Linked DNA regions of Tribolium castaneum. The protein of the gene in region 1 purifies or fractionates together with the protein of each later gene. This does not show direct contact. Links are inferred from orthologs where the notes say so. Each region holds a gene or a part of one and is shown on either strand. Other genes may lie near its edges.

Region 1 (3,756 bases):
GACCAGCCCCCTTCAAAATGTTGAAATTCTCTTCGGATTGGTTGCTGATATCAATCAACAACTACAAGACAAGAAATAAAACAGATTGAACAAAAAGAAACGCACAAAAAAATCCTCCAAAAAATCGACTTTATTTTTGACAACGCTACATTTTGATTTCATTTGCTATTTTTAATAGTAGATATATTGGTAAGTATAAAACAATGCAGTAAAAAAGTAAAAAAAGAAAGAAAATAAATAAAAAAATGTTATTGAAAATTTCACACCAGGGCTTTTATTTTCACTTCTTGTCTAATTTTATAAATAAGGGGTGATATTTTTTTAATATTTGAATTTCAGTGAAATTGTTTTATTTATACTATTTGTCCTCGTATTTACGCTTGTTTAAACAAATTTTACTACATTTGAAACCTTTTAAATGATCAAATATTTATCAAAACATTTTTTTAATAATTTTTTTTATGTTTAATTTTAAATATATTTTGTGTAATTAGCAAAAGACACTTAACTGTTAATGTTTTTAGAGAGACAATTTAATGGTCTTTTAAATGCAAAAATAAAAAATTGGGTGTTCCATTTAAAATTTTGAAGTCATTCAACTTGCAACAAACGTCTCCATTTTTTATCTTCTTAAATAATAAAGCTAATAAGAATAACATATCCTTTAAGTTTGAACTTTCTTTTTTAATGTGGTGAAAGTTCTTCTTTTCTGAGATTTTTAGCTTTTATGTAATGATTTTTTGAAAAAAGAGTGTTTTTGTCAATCATCAGTATTAAAATCTACAAACAAAAATGCAATCAAATTTAGGGTGTTCCATTTGAAAAAACATAACTTTAGTGTTTTGTTAATATTGGAACAGCCCATATATACACTGCAATATTTTGAAAACATACACAAAAACACAGCAATAATCTAAAAAAAGAAAAAGGCAATATCTTTAATAGTAAACAAGTTATGGAGCTTTTTCGGAACTTTGAGACACCCTGTATGATTACATCATTACTGTAATAAACTTTTTCAATGTTGCACTTCTTTTCTGCAATTTATTTTAAATTGTTTAAAGTCTACCTGGTCAGGTGAACTAAAGAAACAAACAGAATTTTGGTGAATCTTTAAAAATAAATAAAAATAAATATTTTGAATAGTTTTTCTATTTAGAATTATTTCTTTGTTAATGTTTATAATTGTTTGACTATCAATAACAAAGTTTAATTGGAACAAGCTGATATTAAAAACATCCAAACAAAATTGCTTCTTCTATAACTTCTTAACGGTTGTAAAAATTTCAATTTTATTTAATAAATTTTATGAAAAATGATAAAAAAAATTATTAAAAATGTTGGAATAAAGCCTTCATAAAAATTAGTTCCTGGTTAAACCTGTCCAGGTGAGCTAAAGAAACAAACAGAATTTTGGTGTATCTTTAAAAATAAATAATGAAAATAAATATTTTGAATAGTTTTTCTATTTAGAATTATTTCTTTGTTAATGTTTATAATTGTTTTACTATCACTAACAAAGTTTAATTGGAACAAGCTGATATTAAAAACATCCAAACAAAATTGCTTATTCTATAACTTCTTAAGGGCTGTAAAATTTTTAATTTTATTTAATAAATTTTATTAAAAATGATAAAAAAAAGTACTAAAAACGTTGGAATGAAGCTTTCATAAAAATTAATTCCTGGTTAAAGCTGTCCAGTGTCCATATTCTCTTTCGAAAATAAATTCGACTCATTGGTGTTTTTTTTTAATAACAAAGATATGATTTTTGTGCGTTACTTTTGGATATGGATTTTACTCATACCTCATAAACTCTAAACCTGACAATTTCGCTCAGTCCCATAATATCGTGCAACGACTGCAAAATATCAGCCTTGGTCAACTGCTTGATCCCCACGCTCGACAGCCCCAAAATTTTGATAACCCCTGCCGCCCCCTTAGCAACCCCCAGATCCTCGTCCCCCATGCACTTAATAATATTGATTAAAAGCGACTGTCTTTTGCACAGGTCGACAAGAATGTCCTCGTTTTCAATATTACGTTTAATCTCATTTAAAGCCATGAGCTTAACCGCAGAAAATGGATGATTTAAAGCTCTTTCTAAAAAAACGCCGTATTTATTCGTGCTTTCGCCTAAATTTAAATTCGTCATACAAAGTGCGAGGACTTCGCAAGCTAAATCGACCTGTTCACTACGAAAATTGATATTATTGTTATTGTTGACGCAGCACTTTTGAGGTTAGGTTACCTGTTTGAGTCGTTTAGACAGTCGAAAACTGCAGGGAGTTGCAGGGAGTTGGCTGTTCGGGACATTTCCTCACGCGGGATTGTAGTCAGGAAGTCTTTCATTTCTTTTAATACTGGAATTCGCGAATCTTCATCGGAAAGTCTTGATAATTTTTCTTCACACCACTCTTCGTACGAAGCCATCGTGACAATTTGAAAATTGGAAAAAGTGCTACCAACTGGTCAGGTGGAAATTTACTACGACTCTCGTATTTGATTGGTCGTTCCTCGAATACGAGGGAAAAATTCCATTTTGTAATGTGGAAAATTTTTACGCACTCATCGACTTAAAATTACTACAAATTAATAATACAGGCACTTATTTGTATAAATTTTAGTAGTAGTAATTAGTAATTACCTGTGTAGTTATCAAAATTACGTTTTATCTAATAATAAAATAAAAAAACTTACTATGAGCCATTGTTTAAAAAGGTGCAAAACCGTTAATTAAATGTGTCCTTGAGGTTTTTGTAGTTAAAAAAATAAATATTTGCTTACTTTAATTGCAAAACTTACAAAAGATCAACAGTGAATATTTGAATTAAAAGGTAGGCCACTAACTATACACTATACAGAGTAAATGAAAAACTGACGCCTAGAGACAGCAAAATGTGTTTGCTTAAGCATATTATTATACGTTTGTTTTCACATTTTTAAATTTTAGAGTCGTATTACAATTACATTACATCTTCAAAATTTTACACTTTTAAAATGCAACTAACAATACACATTACGTTTAAGGTCTGCTCTAATAATAGTGAAATTAATAAGTAATAACTAATTTATTTTAAAAAGAAGTTTAATGCATTTTTGGTTTGTGAAATAAAATACAAAATACAACACAAAATTAAGTTTTTCTACTTGATGATAAATAGGAAAAAATTAATAACTTTTTTAACATTGTCATAACTACGGATATCTAAGGATTAGGATATGATACGACGTACAAATAAAACGTTCCCGTCCTTGATAGTTCCGTTAATGTCGTCAGAGAGCGCAGTTTTCAGTACAATGAATGAAACAAAACATAAACATAATACAATTTTTTTTCGAAAACTATGTTAAAAAATGCACCATATTTTTAACAGTTAAAAAGAAAGTTGTAGAGAATTAAATTTCCTACAAAAAAGCCTTATGTTCTATCCCAAACTCGTTTAAATACACCCAAACGACGGATTTATTTTATTTTCCCGGTAGTCAAGTACCAGATAGACTATTAAAACCAAAACCGTTAAAGATAGGAATATGGTCTCCGGACTTTTTTGAAGAAAATTTAATTCTTTATAATTTTATTCTTCACACTTTATTTGTATCTTCACCCGTATTTGCAGAGTTTGCAGGAATATGAGGTGGAACGCAGATTGAATTTTTTTATGTTTCTTATGAAAATTTTAAGCGCTCACATTTTTACTCAGCCGTACTATTTTTTTGTATTCAGAAAAACCGGCAAGTTTGTATCTCGTTTTG
Region 2 (3,756 bases), on another chromosome or scaffold:
TTCCAAATGTTTTATTTTAAAAAGGTTTACAGCCAGAAAAGGAATTATCGCTCAATATTATTAAAAACAAACCAAAATTTCACAATTTTCGGTGTGAATTTTGCATTTTTCGCATTTTTAAACACGTTTTGAGTTAAAAATTTAGTTTTTTTAAGAAAAATTTAAAAAAAGTAGGTTTTTTGAACAAAAGATTTATTATTTATTGCATAAATATTGTGACCACAATAAATTTTGGTCACAAGTCATGTTATTTCTGCCTTTTTTTAACCTTTGAGCAAGTTTTAGAGCTATAATCTAATTTTTTTTCGTCATTTCGCGAAAAAAGAGCCAGTTTTTCAGCCAGAAACACAATTATTTCGCAAAATTTCGCAAAATAATTAGAAACTGATGTTAGTTTCTCCCGATTTGGCTCGATTTTAAGCGGAATTTCTTCAAATTAAGCCGAAAAATTACAACATTTGATCCAAAACAACGATCAGTTCTTGAATTAAAATTTTAAGTTTAAAGATATTGCTAAAACAAATAGAAAAATCACCAAATTAAAACACAAAGTACTCAATGTTTTGCTTTTTTGAGTGTTTAGCACGTTTTTGAGTAAGAAACGAAAATATTTCATATTTATTTGAACCAAACTAAAAAATCAATAAAATTTCGCCAAAATAAATTGATTTTTGCTTTTTTCAGATAATTAATAATTAGCGAAAAATTTCGCTAATTAGCTAAAAAATTGCCAAATTTGATCGTAATTGATAGTAATTTAAAACTCATCAAATACAGCAACTTTTCTATACAACATTTTGCAAAATTCTTATTTAAAATTTTCATTGTTTTCCTCCTTTCTCTTCTGCAAACGAGCCGATCATTGTTTAATAATTGGTTTGTATTCTTTCCATTCTTGTTTTAAATTGTTTAAATTGTCTGTTTCTATCACAACGAAAATAGTTCAGCTCTTTTATTTTTGAACCCATAGGCACAAGTTTCATTATGATCTTTTTCCAAATTTTATGTAAATATGCGATTTTTATATTGAAAAATTACAAATAGAAAAGATGTTTTATTTGTTGAGTTCTGTTACCTGTTAAAATTAAGACACGTATTTCTGATACAGCCTGTATTTTGTAAAAACTTGTCAAAACACACCTCAAATTTAAAACAGTATTCTAACAAAATAAAATACAAATCTCTGTTTTACTGTGTTTGTTACTTATACGCCAAATTGTAATTTATTTATTTCATTTTTTTATCTTCTCTTAAAATGTTGGAACGTCACAACGAAATTAACTCAAAATTGTTTATTTATAATTCAATTACCTTAAGTCAGCGCCATTGAACGTGTCAGACAGCTTAACAATCGCTTCATAATCAATTTCCCCATGTTTCGCTATAGGCCCAGCATGGATTTTCAAAATTTCAAGTCGGGCTTGTTCATTAGGAAGCGGGATTTCAATTTTACGATCCAGACGACCTGGACGCAACAAAGCAGGATCCAAAGTATCGGGCCTATTCGTGGCCATAATCATTTTAACCTGAAATCAATACACAAATGAACAACTCCCAAAATTTCTCTCAAACCGAACTGACTTGACCAAGAGAATCAAACCCATCCATCTGATTCAACAACTCCATCAAAGTCCGCTGAATTTCCCGATCAGCTGACGTCCCCTCGGAAAACCTCCGACCCCCAATAGCATCGATCTCATCCATGAAAATAATGCAAGGCTGATGATCTTTCGCATAATTAAACATTTCTCGAATGAGTCGAGCCGACTCTCCAATGTATTTATCAACGATAGCACTTGAGACAACTTTGAGGAAATTTGCGTCCAGCTGTGAGGCCACAGCCCGGGCTAGGAGGGTTTTGCCAGTGCCTGGGGGGCCGTACAGGAGACAACCTTTCGGGGGGGTTATGCCCACCCTCATGAACAGTTCGGGGTTCATGAGGGGCAACTCTATGACTTCACGGAGCTCGCGAATTTGCTCGGACAAACCACCAATTGCCGAGTATGTGACATCGCCGGGGTCCTCATGACTCATGTTGTAAACAAGGGGGTCGACTTCTCGGGGCAAATAACGCATTATTGTCAACGTGGTCATGTCGAGAGCAACACGAGTCCCTGCTTTCAACTTGGTCTTATCAAGTTGCCGGCGACAGCCCACCACGTAACGGGGGCCATTCGTTGCCTTAACAATAACTAAAAAGCACTCTTGTTGATTACTGTTTTCACAAAAGAGAAACTCACATTTCTCCTCAGTTAGCTGTTTCAAAACCTCGCCAACAATTTGGCCCATGCTTTGCAGCGCCTTAAGGTCATTCTCTGACTTGTCGTATTGTTTTGTTAGGTCTTTTAACTGTTCTCGCACTGTTTAACAATTAGTAAAACAAATAAGTTAGAGGAGAGTGACTTACTCTCTTTCAAGCGAGACTCGACTTCTTTGTGTTCCACAAGTTTTTTCCGGTATTCCTGGAGGCTTTTCTCGCGTTCGGGCTCAGTTTGTGTCATTTTGACTCACTTTTTAGTCAGGATTTTCGAAAGTTATTTCACTAAAGGCACAATGACTGGCAGAACACCACAACACCGCACTTTTGGTTTTGACAGCAGGTAGGGAAATTTAATTTTTTCAAACATCGGCCAGAGTCGCCAACCTAGTGAATGCTTCAGTTTTACGGAATTTTGAAAGAACTTTTTTGTAACACAAGACATCTGTTTTAATTCTGTTCTGTAGGGAAAGAGGTCGTGTTACAAAATAATATTATCATATATTTTAAATACAAGGTGATTAAATTTAAGTAAGATGCAACCAACAATACACATTACATTTGAGGATTGCTCTAATTCTAATTAGTCAAAATAATAACTAATATTAATGTGTGCAGCGAGAATCAGGACCGCGCCAACGTACTAAAGAGTTAAGAAAAATTTCATTTTTGGCCAAAACAGTTTTTTCTTTATAAAAAAAAGTTGTTACTCCGAGTGCGTGTTTTTAGGCGACCGAAAAAAGCATACATTTTCAACCCATTGCAATAAAATTCTTGATATTTTTTTAAGAAATTTTGTGAAATAATCGATCATCTGATTAAATTGCATTTTCGTTTCGCTCTTAAACGTAAAATCATCAATGTTTTTAAACCAATTATACGATTTTTCAGTTTGTTTTTATCGAAATTTTGCAAAAAATGTGTCTTCAAATAAAAAACTATCAAATAATGCGAAGTAATACGTTTTTTTTTGCAAAAATTTAAGCATAAAAAAATATAACATTTTTTTATTCAATTTTATGATTTTTTTATTTTTACTTAATTTTATTTTATTCTAAATAATTGCGTTTTTTAGTACATTTTTCGACCGTTTTGTTGAAATATTTTTGGACAATTTTAAAAAATTTCGCTTGGTTATTTGTGAAAATTCATTAAACAACTGCGTTTTTGAATCAAAATGGGTTAAAATATCACAAAAATTAAAATAATCTACTTTTTATGCAATTTAATGAGTTTTTGGTTCATTTTAAAGAAATTTTGCAAAATAATTGCGTTTCTATAAAACGGGGTAAAACGCTTGAGGTAGCCAAATTAAATTAATAATTTATTAATATTGTAAATATTAAATGTTTACCGAATTTTTGAAATCTTGTGTTCAACTCGTCAGGAAAACTGATTTTTTTCTATTCATAACGTGTTTTTATCTTAGCTTTCCCTCAACACAAAATCGCACGTCTAAAATTCTTTAAAATCTTTTTTAATGTTTTTTTAGGATTTCC

What was found. Proteins that work in one complex are often made in the same cells at the same time.
Region 2: the proteins of 26S proteasome non-ATPase regulatory subunit 5 (region 1) and Rpt4 purify together in Homo sapiens (co-immunoprecipitation; 4 studies listed by BioGRID and IntAct, counting the BioPlex papers as one, with this or other methods). This does not show direct contact. The link is inferred for Tribolium castaneum from reciprocal best matches to the Homo sapiens genes PSMD5 and PSMC6.

Annotation. Positions count from the first base shown.
Region 1 is NC_087400.1:8,011,140-8,014,895, reverse strand, and holds the start of 26S proteasome non-ATPase regulatory subunit 5, read right to left. Parts: upstream 2,469-3,756; 5' UTR 2,434-2,468; coding exon 2,252-2,433; intron 2,196-2,251; coding exon 1,808-2,195; intron 62-1,807; coding exon 1-61. UniProt on the Homo sapiens protein: Acts as a chaperone during the assembly of the 26S proteasome, specifically of the base subcomplex of the PA700/19S regulatory complex (RC).
Region 2 is NC_087394.1:9,241,525-9,245,280, forward strand, and holds the start of Rpt4 (26S proteasome regulatory subunit 10B), read right to left. Parts: upstream 2,632-3,756; 5' UTR 2,502-2,631; coding exon 2,408-2,501; intron 2,361-2,407; coding exon 2,241-2,360; intron 2,193-2,240; coding exon 1,582-2,192; intron 1,527-1,581; coding exon 1,312-1,526; intron 1-1,311. UniProt on the Homo sapiens protein: Component of the 26S proteasome, a multiprotein complex involved in the ATP-dependent degradation of ubiquitinated proteins.